Daphnia pulex: one gene and its partner. The protein of the gene in region 2 binds, or shares a complex with, the protein of the main gene of each other region. Links are inferred from orthologs where the notes say so. Each region holds a gene or a part of one and is shown on either strand. Other genes may lie near its edges.

Region 1 (14,861 bases), on a different chromosome or scaffold from region 2:
TGATAAATTAATTTAAAATGCGTTATCTTTTGTAGAACGGGCTCTCACGAATAAATATTCACTGCTTCAGACTCTCAGCTCTTTGCTTGATATAATTACTAGCATATCTTATGTGAATATGAATATGTTTGTAATTAATTAACTAATTATAAGTTTTTTCGGTTTTTTGTGCCAAAAAGTAAATTTGCTTATCCGTATCCGCTGATTAGTAGCATCCTGCTAATATAACAAGTTTGAATTTTTAGTCTGCTACAATGGCGCGGAATTGACATTTCTTGTGTTTGTTTTCTAAACAGTCTTAAATTTTATAATGAAATTTCATGAGTGGAATACAACAAATTCCAAGTGCCTTTTTTATTCTAATCCTAACCACATGCAATCCTTTACTTTCTCTGGAAATTCCTATAATGTGACAAACAGCTCATTCTTGGGGAAATGTGATCAACAAGGCAAATCATCTCTCCTTGAAGCTTTGTGTAAGGTGTTCCAAACCAACACTTCCAGCCTCAACTCTCCATTTCACAAGCTAAATCAAGATGAGTTCCTTAAAGTTAAGACATCACTTTCCCACTACAAGTCATGTTTACCAGCTACAGAAACTGCCGAATGGTTTATAGAGAGTGGAGAAAGTTCAAATTGTTTAATGCCACAGGCCGAAGCAACAAAAGAAAGACTTGTTTGCTATTTCCTGACAAAACAACGCAAGGTTGTGGGAAAATTTGTAGTCAGTAATGCTGAAAACAAACTTATTATTCCAAGAAAGTCAGTTGATAAGGGAAATAGCAATCTTCAGTTGCTTAAGAACATGAACCAATTATCCAGTGCAACAATCAAAGATAGATACAAGGCTCCATTTAATCACTCTAATTTGAGTGATATTGAATTCACATCCAGCCGGTTGCAGATTTTTGGTGTTGTCACAGCTGTGAATAAACTTCCAACAAAGACAACAAGCTCCTGGCATTCTCTAATTTGCATTTCAGACCCATCTCTCATCATGATTGCATCTGGTGATGAAGAAGAAGAGGATAAAGCCCCTGGTGAGTTCAAAATGTCCCTATTCTTCAATACATTAGAAGATCATCCAGAATTCCATCGAGGTGATGTCGTTCGATTTACCAATGTCAAGGTAAGGTATTTATATTAAATTGCATTTAAGCTAGGTTGAATGTTATTTTTATCTTGCAATGATTTCACCACAGATAGAGACTCATAAAAATCGTTGTGATGGACGGGTCTTCAACAAAACAGATGTCACCGTCTATTGTCATCCTGATAGTAAAGCACCTGTTCTCCGCGAAAGTAATATCTGAGCTCTATCATTCAAGTATTTAATTAATAATGTCGTGTATCTCGTTCTAGATTTTGATGACCGAGCAGCCGTTGTTCGCGTTTTGAGCCACTGGTGGACGTTAAACCATCGGTTTTTCGACTATGTCACGCCACATCCAATTTATCATCTTCTTTCCAGATATCCAGGCATTCGTACTTTTAGGGAATTATCTGATGAACTCATCTGCGACTTGTATTGCCAAGTATATCATTCAAACCTGGATGGATTCTTTTTTTTTGAAAGAAAATTATCAATGTCAAAATTGTATTTTTTCTAGGTAGTCAGTATATCGGATGACTCTTCAGATTTAAATTTTTTGTGCGTTCGAGACGGCACTATTTTTACACTCCAAAAGCAACCCACGGCTAATCAGTCTGAACCAGAGATCGAGCAAATTAACACCGACCCAAATGAGAGAAAACCTTCTTTCGGGTTCTTAGGACTCGCCATTTTTGAACCCGAACACTGGAAAACAATCAAAACACAAAACGTAGTCCCGTTACTAAATTTTGTCCAATTCAATTCGAATTAATTACTTAATAATTCTTTACAGATTTTTGTGAACGATTACGTGATTATGCGTGAAGTAAAAGTAGTCTTTTTGACTGAGGAGACGTTGGCCAACTTACGATCCTATTACGCCTACCACCATCCGTGTGTTTTGTTCCGTCCGGCTGGCGATAAAGTAAAGAAAATTTCGGCCAATCATCACGAAGCGTACAAGATCCGTGCTCGCTTGCACCGCCTTCCCGATGAATTGGAAAAGATGGATAGCTGGAAGTTCCCTTCACAAATTGAAGAAAAAGTACCTGAAGACCCTCTTTTAGTCCGGTTAAATGACTCTTCCGTACAAATGAACATTCTGAAAAGATTGAAACGTTCTTGAAATTACAGTAATAAATAGAAGCGAATTTTGGTACGATACTTGTTCGTTTATTGCAGCATTGCATTAACAAACGTTGTAGAAAACACACAACCACGACTATTGATTAATTAAGCTGCACAGAGTACAGTGACGCGCACAGAGCCATTTTTTTTTATTTATTTTTGTTTGTCTTATTTTGTAAAGTACGTGAGACGTAAAGTGTTAATTATTAAATTTAAACATTTGAACTAATTTGTGTTTGTTCTCTTTGGGAGAGAGAAAAAAGACCAACCACACGATACTAGATGAACACTGGGATGGGTTTTGGGCATTTTTTGTTTTTGTAACGAAATTGAACTATTAAAAGCCGAATTCCTTTTTTTCTTTTTGTAAAAGAAGGAATGGCCCGTCAAAGAAATTGGGGTCTATTGTTCATTTTGGATTAAAAAATTCAGGTTTGGGTTTTTTTTCGCGTCGCGGAAGGAGGAAGCGCGCCTAAATTTAAAAATTTAAATTGTTACTAAAATGCGGCCGGTACTGCCATTTTGGAATGGCCGTTTTGGCTCTCAAACGGCTGGTCAAACTCTGCCGTTTCTGGTTCTGAATCGCATCCACTCCCCTTGTCGGTGTCCACCTTGTAATGGATTTGTGACGACGAGGCAACAGGCGAATCGCTACTAGAAGGACTGGCTCCTCCGCTGGGCGAAGATGAACTGATTGATTCTTCACGACTTGACCGACGAGCCAAACACGGTCGAAAATTATTTGTGTCGATCACGATGGCGTTCATCGGGCCACGGAAAATGGTTCCGCAACAAACAGTTTCTCTGTAAAATCATTATTACAAAATTAATTCTTGTCTTAAAATCAATTCAAGCGAAACTCACCTGTGCCACAACTGAGGGTCGAGAAAACTAGGCATCTGGTTTTCTATTTTGGTTATTATTTTACTGCGAGTGCGATTCCAGTGTTTTTCTTCTCGTTTTTCTCGACGTTTCTTGCGAATTACTTTGGAGACTAATTTTATGTCGTCATCATCATCGCCGTCGTCAACACCTCCTTCCTCTTCATCTTCAGGCTGGTTAGCCTTTTGCACTATAGATATTTTAGGACGGACTTTGGTATTGGCCCGGGCATCGACTACCTGCAACATTGAATATCCAATGAATGTAAAATTTCTTAATGCATTTTTTTAATTTGATCAAACTGACATGGCCCCAGTGCCGCAGCAATCCGGTCGGGAGCTTGCGAAAGCGTTTAACAAGTAAGACGCAAGCGTTACAAATGTCACCCGAGCGTTCCTCTTCCAGGTGAAAACAAGCTTCGAAATACGGCTGATATTTCCCAGAATCGGTAAACCTGGAACTGTTGGATTTGAAGAAATAAACATTTTTATTTTTTTCAAAATAGATGCAACTCAAATTCGGTTTTGTCCGCTAGAGTGCGTTCCAGTCGAATTCGGGTCACGAACCGTAACCATCCCCTCCGCTTCTCTTCCCCAAAAAGGGGCGGAGTGAAGGGGTGTTTTTATCGATCATAGCTGCTGGTTCGCTTCTTCTTCTTCTCTCCCTTTCACAACGGACGTAGCCACCAATCAACTTGATCGGGTCCGCGATACACAAAATGAAATCAAAATTGCGCGATCAATATTCACCTGCTGGATTTTGCACGGCAAATGCAGCAGCCCGTCCCCGAACGGTAGATTTTTGGTTTGTGAAAACTGAACATTTTCTTATTTTTCCGCGGTCGAATTGGATGATGACTGGGTTTCTTGTTCGACAAATTGTTGTCGACAGTCTCCGAAGACTCCAGCCTTGTAACGAAATTCCTTCCTAAAAATAAATTCTAAAAGTCGAATAGTTTCGGGTTCGAAACTGCTGGGTTCTGTAGTGCATCTCTCGCTTCCGGAACGCCTGAACAAAAATTTGGGGAAAGTTAAAAAAGAAAATAAAAAGTTGTTTCACCATTTTAACATGCGCTAGTAGAGGGGGGAGACATTGTCCCTAGGAGGGGAGGGAGAAAATACATAATAATGAGATTGAACGTTGGGACAAAGTGCGTGCACAGCACACACACAGTACACCACACACAAAGTCTCTCACTCCAACAGCTCGGTCTCATGACGACTTTTATTTTTCATTGGGCCTACACATACGGACCACTTCCTTGTTTTCATCCGAATTTCTTTCATTGTCTCTCTTTTCTACTACCCCAAAACAAAAATGATGAACGTAACTAACCACGACCCATTTTCAGTCGCCATATTTTATATTTTGATAGACTCTTGATTTTTCCCATCCCGTAGGGTAGGTTTCTCCGAAGCGTGTCGGACGAAAGCCATGTCAACCCTCTACTTCCTTAGTTACTGAATTTTTTGGTGGGGGAAACGATGCAGTTTTAAAACAAGCCATAACCGAATTGAAGGACGATCAATGAAAAACTATTTTTAGATGATTGTAAAATCTTACCTGTTAAAGATAAGGTCCCTTAAACCAGTTCGAGAGATGGCACACGACGAGTGAATGCGTGGAAGTTTGTTTGGTGACTGAGTTACGTGAGCAGGGTTGAACAACCCCTGAGCTCCTGCTCCTGCTAGTACACAGCTCTACCCAAGGCCGAAATGGCCTAAAAAGAACCCTACATATGGAGGGAGAGAGAGAGAGAGAGAAGGTTCTCCGGGTTGTTATAATAGTAGGAAGGGGAGGGAGGGAGGAGCTGCATACCCTCGACGCTATCTCTCCTCCGTTCACAGGGGGAGGAAGGGGAGGTTGTTGGGAGTGCCAGAGAGGCGGCCATTGAGGTTACTCGACTCAATATCGTTTAATTTCTATGAAATTAACAGAAGAATAATCAGCGGCAATTGAAAGAAGCACGTGCGGAAGTGCTTGAGCCGCGTTCAAATCGCCGCCAATTTTTCTCTATTTTGCAAACAAACCGCGAAACGCCAGATGCCAAAACAATGCCATCTAGCGATTAGTTCCCGCATGACTGGCGTAGCTATGTGTTTAGCTTTAGGGGCTGAACCTTTGCTCGACCAAGAGGGAGGGGAGAAGAAGAACGAACGAAAATATACACACACACACACCACAATATTTCTAAAAAGAGAAAACAGCCCAAGACCGGTTTCGCTTCGGTCTTGAAACCCTTACCAAATGAAACGAAGGGACGATCTGGTCTTCCTGGGCCGTAGTAATAATGACGGGCGGAGGGATCGTTCATTCACCTTTCGGACAACCTTGGCCCTGTAAACAAAACAACAAAAAAGGAAGGCAAAAGTTATTCTTAGTTTAAGAGTGCGTTATACAGAGAGCGAACTGTTATTGTATCTGTATTTGAGGTTTTCATTTTTTAAAAATAATACAACATTCCATCAGATAATTACAAAAGAAAAAAGAAATCCCGTCACAAGAGTGACTATATAACGACCTGATTGCTCATTCGCCAACAATTTTCTTGACACGGATAATGCGACACCACAATCACCATGACTCTAGAGAACATTTTTCCGAAACTCTAGTTTTTTTACAATTAACTTGAGGGGTGAAACGGAAAAAAAGAATTATAACAAGGAAACGTTCATTTAATAATAAGTAGAAGCGTGTGTGTGTGAGAGATAGAGGAATAAAACGATACTAGCAACAAGATTTTTTGGGGGCGAGACTATCGTCAACAATAACCACTTCTGGATTGCGATTACTAGTCAAGTTTGTGGAACTATTGAGTTCATTCTGACTCTCTGCCATCCTCAAAAGCTGCTGAGTTACGTCCAAGAATAATTCCTCAATGCCTCGATTCGTCTTGGCCGAAGTCTGGTAATGTGTAGCACCAACCGATTTGGAATACCTTTTTTGTATAGGCAAAGGGGTTGGAAATGTTGATTAAGTAAACTGATGATTGAATATGACATGTATCTTACTCTAAGGCTTCTTCTGCTGGAACATTTCTTTCCTTATCCAAGTCTATTTTGTTTCCAACAATTGCCAAAACTACTTTGTCTCCTAGAATCCTTCTCAGTTCTTTAACCCAGTTTTGAACCTTTCAATGAGAAAACAATTGCATTGCATACACACTCTTCATTTGAAATAATATTTGACTATACTACCTTTACAAAGGAATCTTGGTCAGTGATGTCATAAACAAGGATGGCAGCATGAGAATCTCTGTAGTAGATGGGTCCCAATGCATGAAATCTTTCTTGACCTTAATAAACAAACAAACAATCACAAGTGTTGAAGAAATTTTCTAGACTACATTTGATTGATAAGATGTCATCTGTATTTACCAGCTGTATCCCAAATGGCCAGAGTCACTCTTTGTCCTTCCAGGTTAATTTTTTTAGTCAAGAAGGAGGCCTTTGAATTGAATCCAATTAATGTTTCATTGTCATTTGAAAAACATCAAATTTTATGAAATAACTTACTTGAATTGTTGAGAAATGTTTTTCGTGAAACTTATCTTCGACATATCTGAGGACTAGTCATTCAAATTAGTCCTCGCAAAATGTCATTCAAAATATCAATTTTAAACTTACCAAGAGAAGTTTTGCCGACGCAACCTTCACCGAGAAGTACAATTTTAAAATGTAATTGACCAAGGTTTGAACGAAAGTTACTCGACATATTTAAAACCTTTCATGAAATTAGCTGGTAACAGGATTTCCTTGCTCAATCACGATTAATTACAGAAAGTGGTCTGCTATCCGTTGACCGCGCCATCTACCAAAGGGAGATTTTATTACGTAAAAGGAGCAACAGCGTCATCTGCAATCGGTTCAAAACAATGGGTCGGAACTCAGCCCATTATGCACAGATGTTTGCCACATGTACACAAAAACATAAAGACAACCATTATTCTCTGTGAACTTAACGACTGCTGTCATTCCTTCGAATTTCCCAGGAAAATCCCTAAAAAGCCTAGTAGTATCTAAAACTGGGCTGGTAAAGGGTTGGACACAAGTTCGTTCCGTTTTTGATGTATCCACGTCAGCACTCGTCTTTAACAATCAGTTCTCCTAGTTTCAAGAGAAAGATGGAAAAAGCTACAGCTGAAGAATCCCTTTTAAAGAAATACCTGAAAATATTTGCAGTTGTCTCAGCATATTGGTAAGATTAATTTTATGAATCGGGAACTGTCAGGGCTTAATTTTTCTTAATTTTCTAGGGCCGTGTCTATATCATTGGTGTTCATTAACAAGGCCTTGCTGAGCGGAAGTACAAATGGAACCACAGTTGACGCTCCTTTGTTTGTCACATGGTTTCAATGTGTCGTTACAGTTGGTCTATGTGTTTTCCTAGCATGTGGAGCCAAATTTTTCCCTAGTTTGGGTAAATTTCCAGAACTTGGTTTGGACGTACAAATTATGCTCAAGGTATTCATTGCTGTCAGACTCTTGTCTCTTTGTGGCATTTATTTGATCTCTTGTTCATATTCAGGTTCTTCCATTATCTTTGGTGTTTGTGGCCATGATTTCCTTTAACAACTTGTGCCTGAAATATGTTGGTGTAGCATTCTACTACATTGGGAGATCCCTCACCACAGTATTCAATGTTTTGATGACATGGGTTTTATTGGGTGAGATCAACTCCTGTCGTCGGTTGTTTAAAATCTAAAAGTAAAATTTTTTTATTTCTTTTGCGTTATAGGCGAAAGGACATCTTTTAGTGCCCTTGTCTGTTGTGCCATTATTGTCGGAGGTTTTTGGCTCGGTGTCGACCAAGAGGGCGTAGCCGGTGGGTCAATGAACTGTTGGAATTTCCCTTTTAAAACTTGAAAACTTGGCTAAATCATTTTATTATGCAGGATCTCTATCGATTTCGGGGACTATCTACGGGGTGCTAGCCTCTCTCTTCGTGTCGCTCAATTCCATTTACACAAAAAAAGTGTTGCCATTCGTGGATCAAAGCATTTGGTTGCTGGGTTATTACAACAATTTGAATGCCTGTCTCCTCTTTTTGCCGTTGATGCTGCTCAATGGGGAATTACCGACGTTGATATCTTTCCAAGGCTATGGCAACCTCACGTTCTGGTCCATGATGGTAGCTGGAGGTGTTTTTGGTTTTGCCATCGGCTACGTTACTGGTCTCCAGATTCAAGTGACCTCACCTCTCACACACAACATCTCCGGTACAGCCAAAGCTTGCGCACAGACGGTGCTGGCCACCTACTGGTACAGCGAAGTTAAACCTTTCCTTTGGTGGATATCCAATTGGGTGGTACTCTTCGGCAGCGCCGCCTACACCAGGGTCCGCCAGCAAGAGATGGAGAAGAATCACAAAGCTAAAGTGATTGCATCTTAATACATTTTCTATTTTGGAAGTTACTTGTTAATGAGCTTATTATTATTTTCCTTCCAATTATGACACTATTAGCCTATTGCATATTTTTTTTTTCAATGTTGACGTTCTCCGTCCCAATCAAAAAGAAAACACACGTCTAGGAGATGCTCATTAATTAATGATAATTACAAATGATTTTTTGAAACATTCTAAGATATTTGTTTGGTTTTGTTTTATTCTTTTTTCTGTATTTCCAGTTTTACATGAGGGTAAAATGACCGACGATTACGCTTTATTTCGTGTGCAGATATGTGTGGGAAAAGAAGATTCAATTTTCGAGCGCACACGCGCATCGGAGAGAAAGAGACAATTTGTTTTTCAACAGTTGAATAAAGCCATTGAAAATGAAGTTAAGAAATTTGAATTTCAATTGAATTTCAAAAAAAAAAAAGCCTGACAGAGACACGGAAGAATAGTTTCACGTACATGAAAGCCTTGTTTGGAGGATCCTGGGAGTCAACAATAAGTGTTTAATTAACTTAAATTAAAATGCAAATTGGAGGGGGGAGGGGGAACACAATAAGTGGAGGAAACCAAAAGTCGGGCGATTCAAAAGTTTTGAAGGAAAAAAATGTTTGACAAGTAAAAACGCAAGACATATTCGGGATAAGCCACCAATAGATGGAGTTATATATATAAGTAACGGGGGGGAGGGATTGGCAAGGTAATTACAAATACACCGCCTCAGCTGCTCGTTTATTTCTTTTGCTTTTTCAGTTTTTAAAAATAATTTAAAATTGAAATCGGGTAGAGCTGCCGTCTGGATTAAAAGGGCCTCGATTAATTACCTCTTACACATGAATAGAGCCGATTTTTTTTTTCTCTTTTACAATCACTATGTTCACACAAGGTTTTATAAGGCCCCGTCTTAGATTAAAAAAAAAAAATCAAAAAATGGCGCACGTAAAATAATAACGTTAAAACATTTAAAAGAGAGGGTTCGAATTGAAGATCATTAAAATGGAGATTTAAAAATGCCAAATAAATTGTCACCAATACGGTTGGTATTTTTAAAACAAGTTGTGTGTTTATAGAAGGGACAAAACTTTTCAGTTTCGCTTCTTCCTCTTAAAATAAGAGTCAGCATAGTGTCCGCCAAGGCCTTGCGAGTGCTGGCCGATATATCCGGCTTCCGGAGAAGGCTCAGGCGATGGTAAGACGTGGTTACTGTATTTCCGTTTGGTGCCCTGCTGCTGAATGGGCGTTGCGAAATTGTTGTTGTTGCCCACGCAAATAGCTGTTCCACGAGCTGGGCTTGTGCTGGGACTGGACGACGAAGTCGGAGATGAGCCCCTGGAACCGGCTGAACCCAACGAACTGGGACCGCCACTTCCTAGAGAGCGAACTTGCCCCAGAATGTGGTTCCAGGTACCGACATTCGTGGAAGCGCCCAGGGAAGATGTCGACGACAGCGACGACTGACAAGAAGACGATGATGGGCTGTGGTTGAGTGACGGAGGTGGGAGGTAGTTGGCATAAGGGCCACCGGGAGGCGCTGTCGTCAGCAGACCGCCGAGATTCCCATACGAAGCGTTCGTGTCGTGATTCAGGGTCGTCAGGCTCAGCGGAGCCAGCGGCGACGGTTGTTGTTGTTGTTGTTGCTGTGGGGGAGAATTGTTGGGCTGTTGAACCATTTGAAGGAGAAGACCGAGCAAGGCTCCAGCCGCCGTTTGTTGTTGAGTCAAAGGAGGTGCACTAGAGTTGGGCGAGAGAGACTGGACAGCCGTGCTGAGCGTTCCCAGGAGGGCCGACAGTGTTTGCTGCAGGTTGTTGACAGCCGCAGGTTCCTGCATCTGCATAGGGGGAGGTGGCGGAGGCGGCGGAGGTAGAGGTCGAGTGGGTTCTGGTGGTCGATGATAAAGAAAAGGTGGCGGCGGTACGTTGATATTCAACGGCGGAGCTTCCATCAATCCGCATGGGAATGTCTGCTGCTGCTGTTGATGTTGTTGCTGCTGCTGCTGCTGCTGCTGAGCTTGGGTGGTAGAAGTTGCTGGTCGATAACTGTTTCCATACTGCGATGGAATCATCCGGCTATTACCAGCAGCAGCTGGTGGCGGTTGGGAACAAGAATTTGGCCCTTGCTGCTGCTGCTGCTGTTGTTGTGGAGGAGGACTAACGTGACTAAGAGAACCACTGCTACCACTGCTACTGCAGCTACCGGCCGGACTCGGTTGCGTGGTCTGCTGGGCGGCCAAGAGCATCGACAGGGCCGCCTGGGCACTGGCTGCTAGCGAAGCATTGCTAGCTTGCTGCTGCTGTTGGTGGTGGTGGTGCTGGCCGGATTGCTGGTGGTGGCCAGACTGAGCCCTCTGGGCCCCAGTTAGCGCCGCCCCCGAAGTGTTGCTAGAATTGCCTGAGCTCGTACTGTTTGCCGGGTTGTTGAGATGTTGTATTTGCGTTAGGATGATATTCTGCAGACTGTGAACAACTACACAATGGGAAGAGAGAAAAAAAAAATAAATTCAATAAAATGGAGATTACCATTCGCTGCTAGGAGTAGAGAGGGGAAAAGAGAAAAATCGATGGATCGAAACTATTGTATATCGCTATAATAGTGTTTCCTCTCTCTTTTTTCACTTTTCACTGCGCGTACGTCTACTTACATGCAGGGTTCTGTTTGGTCAGGTTTTGCAATTGATGGAAGACGGTATCGCTTGGTGGTTCGGGTAACAGAGCAGCTCTGCCTTTATTCTGACACTGATGAAACGTCGAAAGAGAGAAAAACAAAATGATTAAAATGTATAGCCAGAAAAAAATAAATCAAATCAAATACCGTGTCGTTCAGAAGCTTCATGTAAATGTTGATGGCCCTAACACCGGGTATAAAGAAAGCCACCCTGATGGGTGAGTTATGAAAGAGTTTTCCGTCCAGGACTCGGAGTGTATCCTCGGCTTCCTGGGCTTGCGAGAATTCAACCAGACCCCAATCTTGAGGAGCTCCACCTTTCAGCGCAATCTATAAATAAATAATATTCGAAAATAAATGTACAAGCGCGCCATGGAGGTCTTTTGGGGAGAGAGAGAGAAATATTAGAGAATATCCATCATCTGTCGTCTGTCAGATGCAGCCTGCAAAGCACAAGTAGCAGCTGCTGCTGCAGCTGAGCGGCTGGGTAAAGTTAGTATATTAGAAATAACGTCTTAGTAGTAGTACCTGGCAGTATGGTGGATTGGCCACTTGAGAAAAGAGCGTCCTAAATTGGCTCATGTCTCGGAATCCGCCCGGGAGGCAGTCGACGTAGAGCAACTTGGAGTGGAGACCGGCGAGGGTGACGATTGAAGTGTCGAGCCAATCGCAAGCCAATGCCTGACCCTCGTAGATTCTTCCATCGAGCTGGGCTCGGGCGCGCTGGCCGCAATCTTTGCTTTGATATTCAACAAATCCGTAGCCTTTGCTCTCGCCTGTCATCCCCATCAAGGAGAATTTTAAGAAAGAAAAAAAAAGATTAGATGTGTGTCAAGTCAATTGAAAAACTAACTGTACACTTTTTTAAAATTTTAGATTATCTTTTTTTCATTGCATCAAAAGAAAATATAAATTTCAACTGGAAGGGATGAAGAAAGAAATGCGAACCGGTTTTGTCGCTGTAGAGTAGGAAGCAACGGCGAACTGGACCATACGAAGAGACGAGCTCTTTGAACTCGTCGTCGAGGAGATCGCGTGGCAGCCGGGCAACGCAGAGCAGGTTTTCAGTCGGTGATGGGCTCAGCGAGATCTTGTGCCCTCGGATTGTGCAAGCGTCCAGTTTGTCACGGATGCACAATTGTTTCCATTCTTCCCAAAAATCTGGCTGACTTTCGGCGTTCACAGGCGCTGCTCTCGCCCAGTTGGGACCCGATCCGCACGGTGATAACGTCACGCTGGAAGATTTCAGTCCTCGGGCGTTCAGCATGTCTCTGATTTCCTGTTTTATTTTAAACAAAAAAATAAAAAAGAAACACATGTCATTTTTTCTCTTTTAGTTATTATTTTTTTCATAAGTATTGTTGGGGGGGAGTGCGTGACAAAATGGAACCCAGAGCTCAATGCGTATGCATTCCAATTGTTTTCCGACTTTTTTAAATGCAAGAGAGACCAGGAAGTTATGGTGGACCGGAACGAGGTGATGGGGGGAAAAGAGGGGAAAAGGCACAGATTATTTTTAGTTTTCGACACAAACTAAGCAACAACAACAAAGGGGGCGTACATCATATAGTATATATTCTGGACGTCTATATGGCCTTCCCTCTCTCTCTCTGGAATGTTTTTGAAAAAAAAAGGCCCTAAAAAGGATCTGCCGGCCGTGGCTAACGGGTTCCGACACACGAGTTCATAAAAATTCTCTCCACAAAGTGAACTTTTTGTTCAAAGAAATTTTACGAGCAGACGAAAAGTTGAGAGAACAAGACAACAACAACAACAACAGAAAAAAAAGGTATTGATGGGTTGTGTGACAGAGCCGAAAAACGGGGCGGCATAACATGGCAATAATTGGGCAGCCAAGGAAACGTCTAAACCAATTAACTTTGTTGAACTCTTTTCGTGAACGAAATAAATGAGATATTGATTTTTTCTTTTTTTCTTTCTCCCCCCATACAGAAAAAAGTTGCTCCGCCGAGTTGTGTTCACTTTATCAACGTCGAGTGACTCAAATAATGACGACAGTCACAACAAGTAGGTCAACTATTCCATATTAATTATACTAATGATGTTTTTTTCTTCTTTTCCTTCCTTCCTCAAAGGACGTGCTGCACACAAATGGGGGGAAAACAATGAACTCTGCCTGAATAAGAAACGAGAAATGTGTTTATCTCTATTTGGTTTCGAATAAACATGTAACCAACTTGTCTCTTGATCTACGTGTGTGGGTGTGTGTGTCAATAACAAGTCTTGAAGAAGAAAAAGAAAAAAACTAAATTTTTCTGGGGTGATTGAACGGACCTGACCTCCCAAAGTTATTTTTCTTTTAAAAAAACATTTTGCAAGAGATGCGGGGTCGGGAATTCCGTCCGAGCTGCTAGACTCCACCTACGGCTTTGTCTGTGTACAACAGACTCACTTTTTTGTTGTGTGTTGTCTTGCTCCTCCTTTTGGGTTAACATTGACCAAGTTTTTATGGTTATCGGGAGATCTTAAAAAACTTGAATAAAAATTATTTACATACACGTTCTTTTTTATTCTATCCACCAGTTCCCCCTTGGTTCTCTTACGGTCATGGTGGCGGCTCGGTTGAACGACCTCTCGACAGAGGGGAAAAAGAAGGAATCAAGACGAAAAAGTAACGGAACTTGACGGGCCAGCTCGCCCGAGGGACGGCCGCAGAGTCTTACGTGTGTGTCGGCGGATAATACCCGACCGTATATAATAAATACGTGACCCCCCTCGGTTCCGTCTCTCCCCGCCAATGAACGGCTCAGAGACAAAATGTCTTCTTCACCTTCTTGTCTTCCATTCTTCTATCCCCTCTACACGCAGAGAGAGAGAGATACGGTTACAAACATATTTGCCTTCAAAGCGTGGGATGTGTTCCCTTGCATCCCCACCTGTGGACGTCGTGATGTCACGGTGGAAATGAGACGCGATCGATAACCCTCGGCATGTTAATAATACACAAGGATATGACGTGTAACAGAGCATCTCTTAAGAAAAAGTGGGGGAATAAATATGCCAATTTTGATGTGGGAGCTAGAGAAAAGTTTTCTTCGGAAAGAGTGTCAGCTGGCGTCGGCAGGCCCAAGAAAAAAGACGGTCGACATCAAACTCGAAAGAGTGGGGGGGGGACGTCCCCGTTGGCGCGTGACAAGCAAGCTGATCAACTGGGTGGTGATCATTCAACATGGAAATGCGTACAGGAAAAAGAAAGACTTTCCAACAACTAGTATCGCTTGCGAGGCTGTTTCCTTTCAGGCAAAAGAAACAACTTTTGAATCGATCCAAAGAATTTGGTAAACAACACGCCCAAAAGGGTAAAAGATGGATGCGGGCGGATGAGCTCTCATCGATCCCCCAACACACACACACACATACAACAAACAGACAGACAGAACAGCAGTAGTACATTCGGAGAGAATCAATTCCAAAGTTGACACTCTCACTAGTGTACTGCCACTCTGTGGAATGGTGCTCTTCACGCATCTGTAAACTTCGGGGCAACGTTAGGACGTACATGGCGCTGACTTCCCTCGAGAGTCATTATCATCATCTCCAAGGAAATGAAACAGCCCAAAAAATGGGAAAAAAAGGGACGGGGAGAACGTGCATGCGCAAACATATCAAATGGGAAAAAAACTGGTTAAGAACCATACGAAAAGAAAATAAAATCAGACGAGTAACACGTACCTGAAAAGA
Region 2 (15,769 bases):
TCTGTGGCTTCTTCTTTTATCCCATTCCCGAAATAATTGATTATTTTATTGGTGAATTTTCGGTTGCAATTTTTCTCATGTGTGTTTTTTTTTCTTCTTTTTTTTCCCGCGTTCGTTTTTTTTTTTTTTAATTTTTTTGTTGCCCTCGAAAAAAAAATCCTTTGCACAACGAACAAAATAAAAAACAAAATTGCAATCGATCGAAAAATAAAACACAAAAAAAGGTTTGATCGGTTTGCTTTCATCGGCCGGCGTCGGCGACGCAGCCGGTCCGCATCATCACGGGCACCCGCGCCATCATTTGCCGCCATTGGGCGACCTGGTCAGCTTGGGACTGGTCAATCCAACCTCTGGATGATTTTCTCTTTCTTTTTTCTTTTTTACTTTTTAAACGTCCCACCAAAAAATGCCTTTCCTTCTTTTATTTTTCTCTCTCTCTCCCCCAACAAAAATCTTTCCATGATATCAATGTCTTGTTCTGACCGGAAGAGATAAAAGGTGAACGATGGTCGGATGTTGTAGGAACGTGATTGTATCGAAATCCATCATCACATCCGTCGATTATTTTCTCTCTCTCTCTCCACATTCTTTCCATCTGATTTTGATTTCTTCTTCTCTTTTTTGATTGGTGATTGTGTTTTTTCTCTCTCTCCCCACTCTTCTTCTCTCTTTCCTCCTCATTCGCACTGCAACAATCACAACAACAACAACAATTAGGTTTGACTCTGGTGTCTCGTGCTGCTCCGCCTGCGACGGGACCGGCCATCCGACTCCAACGACGATCCTAAACCAAATAAAATCAAAGCCCAAAACTTCTTTCAATTTCTGCTGTTGTATAACACACACAACCCAAAACTACTGCCCCCCATCCGCTGGATTTAAAAAAACAAAAAATCCTGCAAACTTTGTTCCCGTTGACACATTTTTTTCACGCGACGGATGGATCTAGTTCCTTCCTGCTTCCTTCCCCTTCTAAAAAACTGATCATCATGTTTCCTTCTTTTCGATTTTCAGTTCCCTCTCCTTTTTTTCAAAATGGCCATTTCTCAGAAACCGTCGGGATTTTAGCGTCTTTTTTTTTTAAACAAAAGTTGTGTGTGTGTCTCTTAACACATATATAGTCTCTCGTAGTCGATCGAATTTAGATCCTAGTCCAAATGTTCATTTTGGATTCTTCTTTTTAATTTTACAATCAAGTTATAGTCGAGCTGTTAGAACAACAATTTAATCGTTCAGTGTGTGTCTCCCCCCCCCTCCTTTTTGAGCTTCTTTCGACTAATAATTACTTAATTAGACATTATTTCTACCGAATTCATCACACCCAATCGCAATCTCTTGAAACAAAACAAAATTTACTACCAAGGAAATGACGACAGATTAATTTGACAGTTGAGAGAAAAACAAAAAAGACTCACCGCCAAACCGTATTGATATCGGTTAGCCGTGTCTCATCAATTTTTTTTTTGTCTAATATATCTTTAATAATTCTAATTGAATCACGTATATATATTATATATATATATAATCAAATCCATCCGATCATTTTGAAATCAACTCCCTGGATTGTAGTAGGAAAAATAGAAACTTTTGTTTGGGTCCATTGGGGGGGTTTGTAAAATAATCAAATAAAAACGAATCGAGTTGTCATTTAAATTTGAAAAAATTGGAAACAGAACATTTCAGTGAAGGAGTCGAAACAAAATTAAAAACCGGTGAAAATGGCGTGCAATTATTTTTGAATTTCATTTTGAAATGGAAAAATATATTTTTAATGTTGCTCAAGAAAAATTGAAAAAATTAAACACAAAAAAAGGGTTTCCCACACACTTACACACACAACTTCAAAAACTAAAATAATTTTTTTTTTACAAGATTACGCGGACCCCAAAGAATTTTTACTGGGGGTCACGCTTCACTTTTGTGTGTTACACAGTTGGCACAAAAGCCACTATCATCTTTTTTTGATTTTGTGTGTGTGGGGTGTGTAAGAAATAATGGAAATGCGGCAGGGGCAAGTGTGTGTGTGTGTTGTGAGGTCGGCCGATGGATAAGATAAAACACACACACACAGAGGACGACGACGACGACGACACTGTTATCTGCATTGCGGCGTTGTCGTCTGCGAGAAAGAAAAGGCGTACAGACAGATACACAAACACGGGCAAGGAAGTTGTGCCGGGGGGGAGAGGAAAACAACAGCAACTTAAAGACACAAAAAAGTTTTTTAATTGATTTTTTTTCTTAAATTCAATTGGATCGACGGGGTGGAAATAAATGCGATTTTTTTTGGCTGGCCAATCCCCCCCTACCATTTTTTTTGCACGTCGAAATAATAATATCACTTACAAATTTCACATCACGAACCTTTTTATCTTTAAAAATTCTTTTTATCTTTAAAACAAATTTCATCATCTTTTATCCTTTTTCTCTTCTTATCTCAAAAATTGTTGCTGATGATTTTAGTCATTGTTTAGTCTTGGAGTCTTTATATGGAGTCCTCCCCCACATTTCTAGAAAAGATATAGATTCCCCCACCCCCAATCTCCCAACCCCCCAAAAACGAACTGTGACAATTTTTTTCTGCCAACACAAAAAAAAAGAAAATTTGAAAATGAGGAAAAAAAATTTAATTCTATAATCAATACATTTTGATTTGTCTAAAAAAAAATAAAAATCCCAAAATTTTTGTAATTATTAACTGGTTTTAAAAAATAAGAGGCGGGAATTTCGATTGTAATGCACAGCGAACAACTGATGCGATTCCGGGCGCCAATAAAATGTTGGAAACATCTGGACGCCTTTTTGACAAGTCAAATTTCCCTCCACCAAAAACCAAAAAACAAAAACAAAAGAGACGCCAGAGAGGAACGACCGTGAAATTTTTGCATAAGTATAAAAATCATTTCCCGCTACTCAGAACAGCAGACACATCCCAACCAGTTTTTCTATTTTTCTTGAATAATTATTTTTGTGTTTTGTGTCTGTCGTGTCTGTTTTATTTGATAGAGAACAGGTTTTATTGTTTTTTTACTCGAATTTGTTGAATAACACTGACCCCCCTCCCTGTACAGTTTTTAGAGCTGTCGGGGGGTAAAAAATAGTTGTTGATAGAACAACGAAATCTAATTGCAATCTAGTCTGCGAATGCTTTAACACTCTTTTTTTGATACATCTTTCACCCCTGATTCCTCCAAGATATAATAATAATGGCGAGGTGTTAGTTGTGTTTCTCCCTCGATCGATTTGCCTCTAGAAGGCGCTTGTTGTTGTTGTTGTCGTCTTGTTGTTGTTGCGTGACGTCTAGAAATCATCACCGTCCGAGTGATCTAACAACTTGCTACCAACTTTTTAACACACCCACCAAGAAAAACTCTTTTTCTTTTTCATTTGGCTTATTTTTTGGATGATGATGATTGGACCACCCACCCACCCTTCACTCTCAACTCCCTTTTCTCTTTCCGTGTCTGGGCGGTTGTTGGCGCGTGTGTTGTTGTGCAGGAAGTGCGGAAGGGCCTTCCGTTTCCCCATTTCTTTTCCTCTTCTTTATTATTATGATTTTTTTTCGGGGGCCTCTCTGCTGCTCCTGCTGCTCCTTTTTGTAGAAAATGTAGACCAAATGGACTGTGTCGAATGAGAAACGGGGATGGGGGGATTTATTTATTTCATCTCTGGAGAGTCAAACATTTTCGAGCACTTGGCGATTTGAATTTGATGGAAAAAAGATTTTCCGATGATCCCCGAATAGAAGAAGAAAAAAGTTGGGCCAATACTTTTTTCTTCTTTCTTTGCCTCAGTTCGATTTCCGATGCGGCTCGTGTTGACACGTACACAAGGAGCCAGGAGCCGCCGCCTCTGTGTGCTTTGCCTCCTTACATTTATATATATACTCTCCCCCCCATAGAAATGTGTTTAATCGATACGTACAGTCGAGAGTCAAAGGTGGGGGTGTGTGGGAGAGAAGGAAGCAGGATATAGGGGGGTGGTGGGGTGGCCAAGAAAGTTCCCCACCCAACTCTCCATCCCCAACCCTGACACGTCAATAATATTTGATCCACTGCCGGTCTATCTCTCTATAGTTTCTCTTTCACTTTAATTTCACACCAAAAACTAATTTTTCCATTCCAAAAAATGTGCTAAACTTACTTAACATTCGGCTGTGCCACTCTTATTAGTCCTATTACAATTAGTTTCGATCCTGATTGACGACATTTGGATGTGTCTGTGTGTATGTCTGTCTGTGTCCGGTTTGTGTCTTTTTCTAGTGATGGTTTGTGTGGAATGGATAGGTGATTGTGGCATCTAGCGAGAGATGAGGAAGCACGAGCTGAATTTTTATTTTTATTTTATGTTGTTATTAGTTGTGTTGTTTGTTTTGTTTTTGTTTGGTTTGGTTTAGTTTTGTTTAGTTTGATTCCTTCTTATTATGATTTGAATTTTTGATTTTTGTTTTCTTTTTGCATCAAAGGTTATCCAAGTTATGGATACTTTCCGGCCGCCGCTGCCGGAGCTGGTGGTCCAGCTAATGGAATGGCCGGCGGCGGAGGCGTCGGCGGTCCTGGAGGTGGTGGTGGCGGAGGAGGTGGTGGCGGAGGCGGTGGCGGTGGCGCAGGCGGAAGCAACACTAGCGGAGGCCTCGGCGGAGGCGAAGTTTCTGTGTCGCAGCACCGCAATGGTCCAGCCAGTGCCGGCCAGCCGACGGGAGCCGGCGGAGCCACGTATTACGATTACACGGGCGCTCACGGGCACCACAACGGCGGCGTCGGGGCCGGTCCGGCCGCCTTCCATCCGCGCGGCCACCACCACCACCTCGACCACCAGCACAATCCTCATCAGGCCGCTAACATGGGCAATTCGCCTTTACTCCGCGACGCCTACACAGGCCGTTCAGGTCAGCCCCTCATTCATCTACGTCGTCAGTCGTCGTCACCCGCCAAATTCAAAAAATTCAAAAATTCAAAAACTAAAAAATTCCCGGGGAGATGAGACAATGGCCGTCGATTGATCCGCTCCTGTCCATGCGAGTGGGAGGGTGGGGGGATGATTTTCCAGTCATCATCAGAGTTTCGATTCACGCTCTCCATTGTTCTTCTTCTTCTTCTTCATCTTCTATTCCCATCCAGAAAAGAAGAAGAGACGAGAAGAGTTCGTGATTTATCAGCTGAATCTTTCTCACGATCCTCTTTTGGATTTTTGCTTCACGACTAAAAGTTTTCCCTCCGAGTTTCTTTCTTTTTTGTTTTGTCTTGGAAGGGGATCCATCACACAACTTTTCTTCTTCTTCTCCCCTTTTTTCTTCTGAGAGATGGATGCGGAATCAAGTCCTCTCCTTTTATGTGCAACATTAAGGATCTATGAAGTGGATGGATGGATGGATGAAGTGTGGTGAAAGACGTGCTGCTGCTTTGCTTTTTTTCTTTTCTTTTCTTCTTTCGTGCTTGAAGCTGCTCTTGTGTTTTATTTTTTCCTCTCGGCGTCCGATGGCGGATGGGGCCCCCGCCATGGTCTTGTCTTGTTCCGCCCGACGCGCCACTTCACCACCGCACCGTCCCATTTTCTTAATTTCTCCTTTTGGCACGTTCTTCTTCTTCTTTCCACTTAAGCGGGCAATCGAATTTTCTCTCATCCCAAGTCGTTTGATTTCATCTTACTTTTTTGTTTCTTTCGATTCTTTGCTTGTCATCGAGTTTGTTGTTTGGCTGGGAAATAGTTTTCGAGTCTAGTCGTTTCTGCGCTATTTATTAACAAAAGAGTCGAGTGGTTGGTTGGTTGGTTGGTTGATGGGGGGGATGCGCATTGATTTATCGTTTGTTTCTTCCTCTTTTAAAAATTACATGTCGCGTGTGTGTGTGTCGGCAATGTAACAAACGTCCATTTATATTTATTCCCCTATCCTCTACCCGGTCGAGAATATATATCCTACTCCTGAGGAGAGTGAACATGACGACGAGGGGGATCTCTGTTTAACACGCGGATCGATTATCTATCGATACCGTTGGGGGGCGTGGCCTATTGGGTAGGACTAGCGGCGCTGATGCCATTCATCATTTTCTCCCTCTTTTGGCGATGGCTGGCGCTGGATATGTTTCAATTACGCTGGGCCAGAAATCGCTTCGTCATGTCGATAGAGAGCTCTTAAATAATTTTTAAATGTCGATTAAGTCTGAACTATTTAGACAAATAATTTGTTTAATTTTTATTTCAGTTTATTTATTTTTCTAAATTGATTTGTGAATTTAATTTGTTTTATTTTGGGTGAATTACAGCGATGATTAGCAGTTACCCGCAGAGTTACGTCCAGCAGTCGCAAGTGGGCGGCCGCTCTTTCCCGCCTTCGCTGGCCGCTGGACTCGGCGGCCACGGTCACGGCGGCCATCACAACCCCAACGCTTCGCCAGGACCGGCCGGCGACGGCGGACTTTACGACGGATCGCTGCCCGGATACACGGCGGCGGCCGTTGCAGCCGCCGCTGCAGCCGCCGGATCACATCAGACGGCCCTCGCCAGGGTGAGTCCCACTATAAAACCCCAAAAAACATTTTTTCTGTCCCGAATTTCCCAAGGTTTTGGATGGATGGACATTGCCGGGCGGGATCGATCCAGTCGACAGAGAGAACAAAAGGGGCGACGTGGGTGGATGAGGGGGTCGGTTGAATAGTCTTTTGCCTGATCAGCACACACACACGCACGCAGGGGTAAAGGATAGGGGGGAGGTGGATGGCTGTGCGGATTGGTTCACGCTCGAGCGGCTCGAAAGTCGAGCGGATGGAAGGAGAAAAGGGGAAGGAAGAAATGATATGTGTGCAAGGCATCCAGGAAGAGAAAAAAAAGGGAAGGACGATGGATCGAATGACGGAATGGATTATCGCTAATCAAATCGGACTCGGCTCACGGGCTAAAAAGAAATTCTGAATAGATATCGCCCCTCCTTCTCTTCTCTCTGGGCCGTCTATTATGTAGCCAAAGGCACTGGACCTTTTTTCCTTCCTTCTCTTCCAGTCGGATGACTAGTTTCTTTTTATTTTTATCTCTTTTGTCCTTTCTATTCCTTCGTTCTTTCGCCTCTATATCGTTTTCGGGTCATTGATCCGGTCAAGCTTCTTCTTCTTCTTCCGCCAACGTCGCCGACGTCGTATAATCTCTAAAGCTGGCCAGGATCCGTCCCCCCTATCTTCGTTTTTGTTTGGGAGACTAAAAAAAAGGTTTTTTTATTTTTTGGGTTTTGTTTGAGCGCACAGGGGGCTGGTCGATTTCTTCTCGATCATCGATCGTTGATTGTTTCTCTCACTCAATTGTGTTTAGTCGATGTTTTTAAAGTTGATGCTGCAAGGCGAGAGACGCTGGACATTTAATTTATTCTCCCTTTTTTAATTGGAGTTGTTGTCAAATTCATTCACGCAGGGTACCCTGATTCCGACCCACTACACCAACGGCTACCATTAACAACAAAGACGATGAACGGCCAGGAGAATCGCCCCGGATGACGGCCGGACAAGAGATTGCGTCACAAATAAAAAGATAAAGAAATGGGATTCGTCTGAGGAAGCGAAAGAAGGAAGAAGAAATTGCAGACACAACTTTCAACAAAAATTACAAAACGAAAAAGGAAATTTAAAAAATAAGGTCGGAAAAAACATTTTTTTTTGTTACACCCCCTCCGTTTATTTGCCAATGTTATAACCCTCCTCACCAGAAAGCCACACACACACACACATATACCATTTTTTGATTATTTTTCTAATCTTATCTGAAACTTGTGGATAAGACGGAAAGGATAACAAGCGATCTCTCCAATTTCCCTTGTTAACTCTCGAATTAATTTTTTCGCTATTTTGACAAATATCCTCCTCCTCCGCAAATGACACGGTAGTTTCTCTCCTTCTTCTTGACTTTTTCCTCTTCGTAGTCGTAGCGAAAAAAACAAACAAAAAAATGGTAGAGGCGAAATTGAAAAAACATTTTTTTGAAATTATTTTTTTCGAATTTGGCGCGCAGCTCGTAGTCGATGACGGTAGACAAACTTACACAACTTAATCTTTACGTAGTCTTTATTTAGATAATACCCACCCCCTACCCCCTGAAAAACATTTATTATTGGACATTTTTTTTTCGACTATTTACCGAAAAAAGGGAGGGAATTTATTTCGTGTAAAAATTTGATCCATACTCAATTATCGACAACAACAAAAAAAGAGGAAAAGAAAAATCCCAAAAAAATTATCTATTTGGAATTTTTTGGGGCCTCTTTGACAATGGCCATATTATATAATATTTGCTGCTCCCACAAATTTAAACTGAACTAAAAAAAAAAATCCCATCGTGTTCGTGTGTGTATGTGTGTGTCATTTACCTGTTCAATTTCTCTGATCGTGTGTTGATTTTCCCTCTCCAATCTTTTTTTTGGATTATTTCCCAAATTGTTTCTGTTATATTCCCCCCCGCCCAATTTGTATCACGTAATCAGATGTTTTCTTTATTCCTTTTTCGGCCTTGATCCCAAAATATTCTCCAATTGAATCGCTCCGATAGACTCGGCCGATTCGAATGAATAATCCACACACACACACACAACACAGCCAAAAAAAAATTGCGAAAGAAAAGAATCAGAAGAAAAAAACGGCAGCTAAAATCAATAAATCGAGTAATAATAATAATTAAAATTTAGCTGGAACGACAAAAGGTGTGGTTTTCCCTCCCCCAAAAATTTTAGTAAAATTTTTTTTTTTTTTTTTTAATTTGTTTCGGTAGTGCCAATTTTTTTGTCAAAAAACTCAGCCGATCATTTTTGTTTGAAAATTCCTTCCTCTTGTAAACAAAATGAAATTCTCTTGGCGGCGACGACGACGACGAGACGGAAAGAAAGAAGAAAAATGTTGTTTTTTCAGGTGTGTCACAAAGGTCACGTGACGTTTACTACCGACTGTGATAGGCGGAACCAACGCCTTCTCTCTAGTAAAAACTAGCAGCTAGAGTTGAGTAAAAACAGTAATAGTAGTCTACGAGGTTTTGTTTGCTCTTATTTTATCCGCCTTCCGCCTTTTTCTCCGTCACCTCCTGGTGGGGTTCCAACAAAAATGAAAAGATTTTTACTCCTCAACTCGTTTGTTTCAATCAAAACTAAACGGATATACAACGACACACGCGCATTTTTTTACGTTTCAACTTTTTGTAGGAGGGACGGACGGTGGCGGGAAATTTGAAAAATGGAAGCGGAAATAAAGGGAAAGAAAACCCGTGGAAGTAAAAAGCAGAGAAACTTTTTTAAAAACTTACACAGAAATTAACCAGAAATAAATAACTTTTTTTTTTTTCGTTTTTTGGCTCCTCCCGAGAGATCAAACAGGAAAAAAAAAAATTTAAAAATGTTTTTAGCCAAAAAATCGATTTTAAAATAAATAAAAAGACCCAACCGAGAAAAATGTTAATGAAATCTTTTTTTGAGAGCCCGTTAGGATGTTGTTGGTAGCCGTTTCTCGCTGTAGAGCAGAGTAGTAGACACAGAGGACACAGAGAATTTTACGAAAACAAAACAAAAAAAAATCATTTTTTTATTCAACCCAATTTTTGTGTTTTTATCTCCCCCACCACCAAATTCATTTACAGCCTGAACAAAAAAAAAAGTTTAAAATTTTTTCGATGACTCGCGCCAAACACAAAAAATTTAAATCATCTCTCAGCAATTCATTTGATATGAATTTTTGATACATTTTATTCATTTGGGGTGAGAACTTAATTATTCAGCGCAGAGAGAGAGAGAGGGAAATTAAGAAAGAGAGTTTTTAAAGTGAATTACGAGCTATGCAAAATAACAAAATTTTTATTTCGAGATTACAAAAAAGTTTAGTTTTTTAGTCTTTTAATTATTTTTCGGGGGAATATGTGGCGTCGATATCAAAAGATTCTTTTTTTTTTTAAATTGTTATCCCCCACACCGCCTTTTTTTTATTTTTGAAATTTTTCATCAGGAAATTTGAAATTTTTTTTCGCGCCATTTTATCAATTTCAATTTTTTAAAAAATCGTCGATCTCGTCAAGAAGACACGCGTGTGTGTGAATGAGTTAACACTAAAAAAAAGGGAATTATATTTTTTGGATTATTTTCTTCCCCTCTCTCTCCACTCTTCTCACTCTCTCTCTCTCTCACGCTCTTTCGTTAGATGAACCTTTGCGTTTAGTGTGGCCGCATCAAGTCAAATGAAAAATAAAATAAAAAAATTAAATCACCGATTAATGACACAGGAAAAATGAATATCGATTGGATGAAAATATACGAATTTTAAAACGATGAAACACACATAACCAATCAAATACCCCTCGGCCCTTTTTTCTTCATATTCTGACATTTTCATTTGCCAAATTGTGTTTTTTTTCGACTTTTAAATTTAATTTGTTTCAAAGGGTGGAAGGGTTTTTGATTCTTTTATGTGTGCGTCGAGACGATTTTTTTTTTATAAATTGATTACAAAAAAAAAGTAGTTGGAAATTTGCGGCCGGTAGCTATTCTCCTCCTCCAAATGTGTTTTCTTTTTAATTTACCTTTCTTCAATGGCAATAATGCATTCAATTTGATGACATAACCATTCTGTTTTTCTCTTTCTCCTCCCATTATCATTATCTCTCTCTCTCCCCCCAAAACGGTTGAAAATTGTTGATCAATTGTTTCTCGTGTTGAAATTTTTTCGCCCATTTTGCCACTTTTCAATATTTTCCACCTCCTCCTCCCATATCTCTCCCCCCTTTCAAAATTGTTTTATTGTGTCTCTTTCAAATGGAGCCGCCAAGGTGTGGGAGGGGGTGGGGCTCATTTGCATGAATTCTTGCCCTACATAATAATAATATGCCACCACCAACTGACACGACAACTACAACAAAACACACAATCTCCTGAACCGAATCGCGAAAAAAAAAATAATACGAAAAAAACTCCCACCCCCTCCCCTTTTCCCCCACCCCCTGTATAACCTCAGGATTTTTCATCCCAAAACATTTTTAATTTGACAAAATGTTTGTGTGCGTTTGTTTGTTTGTTTGTTTTTGTGAGTGTGTGTGTGTGTGTGTGTTTCACATTTGTTAAAAAACACGATTTGATGATGATGATGATGATGACATAACATTTGTTTGGGTGTATCTTTATTACCACCCACCTCTCTCCCCTCCCTCAGCCCCCAACGATTTTTCAAGATGCAAAAAATTAAAAAAAAAAAAAAAAATTAATTTTCATTTTTTCAGTTTGCCAAAAAAAAAATGTTTTTGAAATTTACAAAAAATTTGAATTTTTTTTTTCTTTGAACCTTTTGCCTTTTTCCTCCCACATTTTTTTGTTTTTCTGTTTGGTGGTCAAATTAATTTTTTTTTTCTGTTTCCTCCTCCCTTCCTCCTCCATGCCGTTTGTTGAAAATGAATGGGCAATAAAATTGACAGCAATAAGCACCTTTTGTTTTTGTCCACCATTTCTTTCTAGACGTTTAGTGTCGTCACAACACAGGGTCCGACACCTCTTTTTAACTTTTCATAATTCATCGAGTGGAACAGTTTTTGTTTCGTGATTTTTCCAGGGGTGTTTACACGTGTGTGGGTGACAAGTTTCGGATGTGCTTAGAACGTTTGATGGTGGGGGTGAATAAGTAAGTCGATTCCCGTGGGATTTATTTACGACCGTGCTCTCCCGGTGGACAACTTTCTGGTTTTTATTGTATTTTGTGTCGGTAAGTTAAAAGACCGGAACCCCGAATAAACCTGCCGATAAATCTGTACCGGGAAACCGTGCAACGTGTAAGTATCTTTTTATATCTATTAAATTCTTAATCATTTCCAATAATAATTGAGTGAGCTGTGTGTCAACTCTATATTTATCTATGACGCAATCTATATCCTAGAAAACATGAATATTTCGTTCTATAAAAGAGAGAGAAAAAAGATTCTTTTGTCGACTATATCTGTGCAACTTCCGGATCAGTGGAGCGTGTAAGACCACACAACTGTGCGTTCACTATACTTTTATCTCTTTACATACATACATATCCAACATTTCCATTTGTATACTAGACAGTCTAGTATATCCAGCAGCTCTTTCTTGTCGATTGAACAACTTTTCTTCTTCTTTTTTTCTTCTGTACATTTGTTAATCTCCCCAGCAGGTACATGTATAAATAAAATCGAATGTAAAGAGTTGAACAAGTTTTGAGGGGGAAAAACGAGTCTATTGTGCGCTGCGCAATGATGAACCGATAGAAAAATGTTCAAGTTGAAGTCGAGTCTCGGGGTTAAAAAGAAGATAAGGTCAGGTTGGATCGAGTCCAAAAAGTGCTGCGAGTGGGGGAAGAAGAAGAAGAATGGGCATCAAAAGACAGACAACCTCCTCCTCCCTCTTCAAGTTCCATCCACCCACATCCAGCAGGAGGAGGAGGATCCCCCATAAAGACTCGATTCTTTTCTATCGGTTCTGTGCTGCTGATGTCAGCACAGGGGCCATTCTCTTTTCTAGTCGATGGCCAACTTCTTTTTTCTCCCCCCAAACAGATAGACGTCTATACACTTAATGTAGTACCCCCTGGCACAGTAGGACGATCCTGTGTTCCTTTGACTCTTGGCTGCATGATGATGTGGATTTATCGATGGGATGTGTGTAGTGCACAAAAACCCTTGGGCGAGGTGCCAATCGCTCAGTGTGCCACCCTCCTACTCTCTTCTACCAGTTAACCACACAGACTCCCTCGACACTCGTTGTAAAAGTTAAAGCGATCCCACTGCTGCTGCTGCTGGTTAGAAACCTAATGAAGGCAGATTGGCTTTGCCTAATATCATGGGGGGAAGGAGGAATTGAATATCATCGGCGGATGTGGCAGCTGGCCTGCAAATCCTGATGAATTCAGTTATATAGTCAACGAGCAGAGAGAGGGTTGTCTATCAATGGGCGTATAGAATTGATCCCTCCTGTTTGCTGTCTATAATCAAACTCCCCCCTTCTAGTCAGATAAGGCGGTTGCCCACATGAGCAGAAATAATCTCAATTTAGGGATTCAATTTCAGTTTTTTTTATTGTTATTCAATTACAAGTTGTGACTTTCTTTTTTCCGGCTGATGGACGAATCGACAAAAACCGGCCCGGGGGGTTGAAATCAATCAAACCCGTGACGACGGAAACATTTTTACCATAGAAGGCCTTAAAAGAAGAAGAAAGAGCTGATCGATGTGTGTCTTGATTCGATTATACACAGACAGAGCGACTGCTGGAGCTGCTGGATCGATTGCAGGAAAATCAGAATCCGATCCTGAACCCCTTTGAGTATTGTTACATTTAAAATTGGTATAGTATGTATACCAGTGTATCGTGCATTAGAGTATATTGAGTGGGAGAGAGTAGCTGGCAGGACAATGGATGCTGGATGTGTGTAGTGATGTGTCAGCGATTGACGGTCGTTGATCATCTCGGATGTGTGTACAGGGAGGGGTGGGGGATCGGTGATTTTTACACCACCAGGAGGGATTGTCTGTCAGTCTCTTCCGCTAATGAAAACAAATGAGGCGAAAAGATGTTTTGGCTCAAAGAGTCCCCCCTCTCCACTTTTTGTTGTTGTTGTTGTCCGCTTCCGGATGGATGTGTGTAAAAACAAACATCTGAGACGGTGAATGATCCGTCATATACGAAGGAGTTGTACACTATACCGGAAACATGATTATACCACGAAATGAATCAAAGTTTTCTACACACGTAACACAAAAATCGGAGGCGAAATAGATATCCATCCAGCGGCCGGATGGCGAGAGAGAGAGCCAAAATAGAAAATGAGTGATAAGGATGGCGATAGTTTGACACATTGAAGTGTGTGTGCAGGAGAAGAAGGAAGGGGATGTTATTTTTCTTGAAGGGGAAAAACATTCCCGACCTTTTAAAAAGAAGAAGGGCGGAATGCCACCACATTTAAAAAAGAATGCACGCCGAGGGGCTGCTGCTGCTGCTGTTTCGTTCCACTTGTGTGTTGCAAGGTGGAATAACAAGATGTATAGTTACTAGATTTATTTATAAAACACACACAAGTCCAGGTCCGCTTCCCCCCAACCCAAAACGTGCCAGAGACCAACCCGACCGCAGCCCAGCAGCTTTGACGTACAGTAAGGAAGAAAAACCGAAAAAATGTTTTGACAGAATATCGTTCAGGCTCATTTTCCACTTTTTCTTGAATTTTTGATTTGACGATATTATATAGTACGAGTTTAAGTGACATCAAACTAAACACACAATCATCTATCCATGGCCCTTGTGCTCTTATTCTCCCACTCATTCCATCCATCAATTTCGTCTTGTGGGTTTTTACACTTTTTTGGCTCGTCCACTTGTCCAATAACTCCGCCCACCGTTCCGCTTACGCACGCAAAAACAACAACTCTTGACGTCTTTTGTTGATTTGCCAATTTTCTTTTTCGTTTTAATTTAACACAACTTCAATTATAGATTTTTGCTATTTTATAGGCCTCCTATTTTTAATAGTTTTACCATTTTTATTTGGACAATAAAAATTTGATACTAAAGAGCGGGCGGGACTGTTTCCCGACCGATATCATACTTAAAAGTTATTCTTTGAAAAAAAAAAGAAGAAAATGATTTTCGATCCATCCGGATGCTTGTGTGTGTGTGCGGGTGCTGCAAGTGAAGGATGATGGCGTTAGGGGTTCGCCCTCTTTTCACTATAAAAAGAGAAGCCGATAGGGGGGAAAAGAGAGAGAAAGATCATAACATGTCGGCTCCACATAACATCCAGCAGCTCATAATTCTTCCGCAGCCGCTGCTACCGTCGGTCCCTCTCTAAGTGGGGGGTGTTTACTCCCATCTGCGCGATACTCCCTCCCTCCCATCCATCGGCCATTTGTATATGATATACAATAAATATATTCGTCAGACTATTTTATAGTATAGGTTGATGTCATCAAATCCAATGTGATACAATTTTTTTCTTGGGGGGTATACCTTTTTTTTTTGTCTCGGCGGATGAGTGCCTCCGGGGCAATAAACAAAACACAATCGAACTAGAGGGGGAACACAACCAACCAACAATCTTGTGTGACGATGTCTGTGTATAGTTTCTTGGACGACAGCCATTTTGGCAGCAGCTAGACCCATTGCGTTTCCGTCCACTGCTGTTCTCATCACATCGTAATCAAATGTTATTTAACGAACATCTTTTATTATTAGCGACTTATTGATTTCTTCCATCATGTCAGTCAGATCGATCATTCCGGCGTATAAATGCAAATAGTATCAGAATAAAAATCGTCGTCATAGATTTATTCTTTTCAAATTTTCGCGGGCTAAAAGAAATAGTTGCCGGAGGGGGGAGGAGGATTACTGTTATGGATGATGATGTCGTTTTCAATCGGCGATCATCATCCGCCATGCAAATGATCGGTTCCCCCCAGATCCGAAAGGAATAAAAAAAAAAAGAAAAAGTTTTATAGTCGCTGGTTGAGGCTGAAAAAGAAAATGGGGGAAAAACCATCAATTCACGTTTGCCGGACGATTGGCCACGACGAAAAGAGAAGCTCAGTACCGAACGAACGCAACGACTTTTCTTTAATGGAACGAAGCCCCCAGGCCGTTCTCACACTGGAAAATAAAAGTTGCCTCGTAAACTTTGGTGCAACATTCAATTCAGACTTGGAAAGATGTAGACATTTTTCTCTATCGAAATGGAAGATGGCATTAAATTATACCTGATAGTCCAGGGCTATATGTGTGTGTGTAGTGCAATCATCTGGGGCGGGATCTTCGCTGGGC

What was found.
Region 1: the proteins of rab5 GDP/GTP exchange factor-like (region 2) and ras-related protein Rab-21-like are in contact, whole or in part, in a crystal structure (PDB 2OT3), measured with the Homo sapiens proteins. The link is inferred for Daphnia pulex from reciprocal best matches to the Homo sapiens genes RABGEF1 and RAB21. Residues at the interface, in NP_001273991.1 of Homo sapiens: Leu253, Cys254, Lys296, Phe299, Asn300, Lys303, Pro309, Ala310, Ser311, Ala312, Asp313, Phe315, Leu316, Pro317, Ile320, Leu347, Met348, Thr349, Gly350, Glu351, Gly353, Tyr354, Tyr355, Thr357, Asn358, Cys360, Cys361, Ala364, Phe365, Ser373; in NP_055814.1 of Homo sapiens: Ser19, Phe20, Lys21, Gly26, Glu27, Gly28, Lys32, Thr33, Leu37, Thr50, Thr51, Leu52, Gln53, Ala54, Ser55, Phe56, Ala71, Trp73, Asp74, Thr75, Ala76, Gly77, Gln78, Arg80, Phe81, Leu84, Ile87, Tyr88, Asp91.

Annotation. Positions count from the first base shown.
Region 1 is NC_060020.1:1,404,286-1,419,146, forward strand, and holds ras-related protein Rab-21-like, read right to left. Parts: upstream 6,914-14,861; 5' UTR 6,818-6,913; coding exon 6,730-6,817; intron 6,672-6,729; coding exon 6,619-6,671; intron 6,551-6,618; coding exon 6,481-6,550; intron 6,399-6,480; coding exon 6,301-6,398; intron 6,234-6,300; coding exon 6,115-6,233; intron 6,042-6,114; coding exon 5,831-6,041; 3' UTR 5,511-5,830; downstream 1-5,510. Other genes in the region: uncharacterized protein LOC124192199, read left to right, coding at 311-1,129, 1,203-1,302, 1,363-1,535, 1,611-1,823, 1,887-2,219; SIN3-HDAC complex-associated factor-like, read right to left, coding at 2,719-3,025, 3,086-3,342, 3,410-3,563, 3,853-3,926; GDP-fucose transporter 1-like, read left to right, coding at 7,170-7,300, 7,359-7,566, 7,631-7,769, 7,841-7,927, 7,998-8,494; ribonucleoprotein PTB-binding 1-like, read right to left, coding at 9,583-10,961, 11,137-11,230, 11,307-11,489, 11,688-11,935, 12,108-12,438. UniProt on the Homo sapiens protein: The small GTPases Rab are key regulators of intracellular membrane trafficking, from the formation of transport vesicles to their fusion with membranes.
Region 2 is NC_060026.1:15,793,763-15,809,531, reverse strand, and holds the start of rab5 GDP/GTP exchange factor-like, read left to right. Parts: upstream 1-7,444; 5' UTR 7,445-11,769; intron 11,770-15,769. UniProt on the Homo sapiens protein: Rab effector protein acting as linker between gamma-adaptin, RAB4A or RAB5A. Involved in endocytic membrane fusion and membrane trafficking of recycling endosomes. Stimulates nucleotide exchange on RAB5A. Can act as a ubiquitin ligase.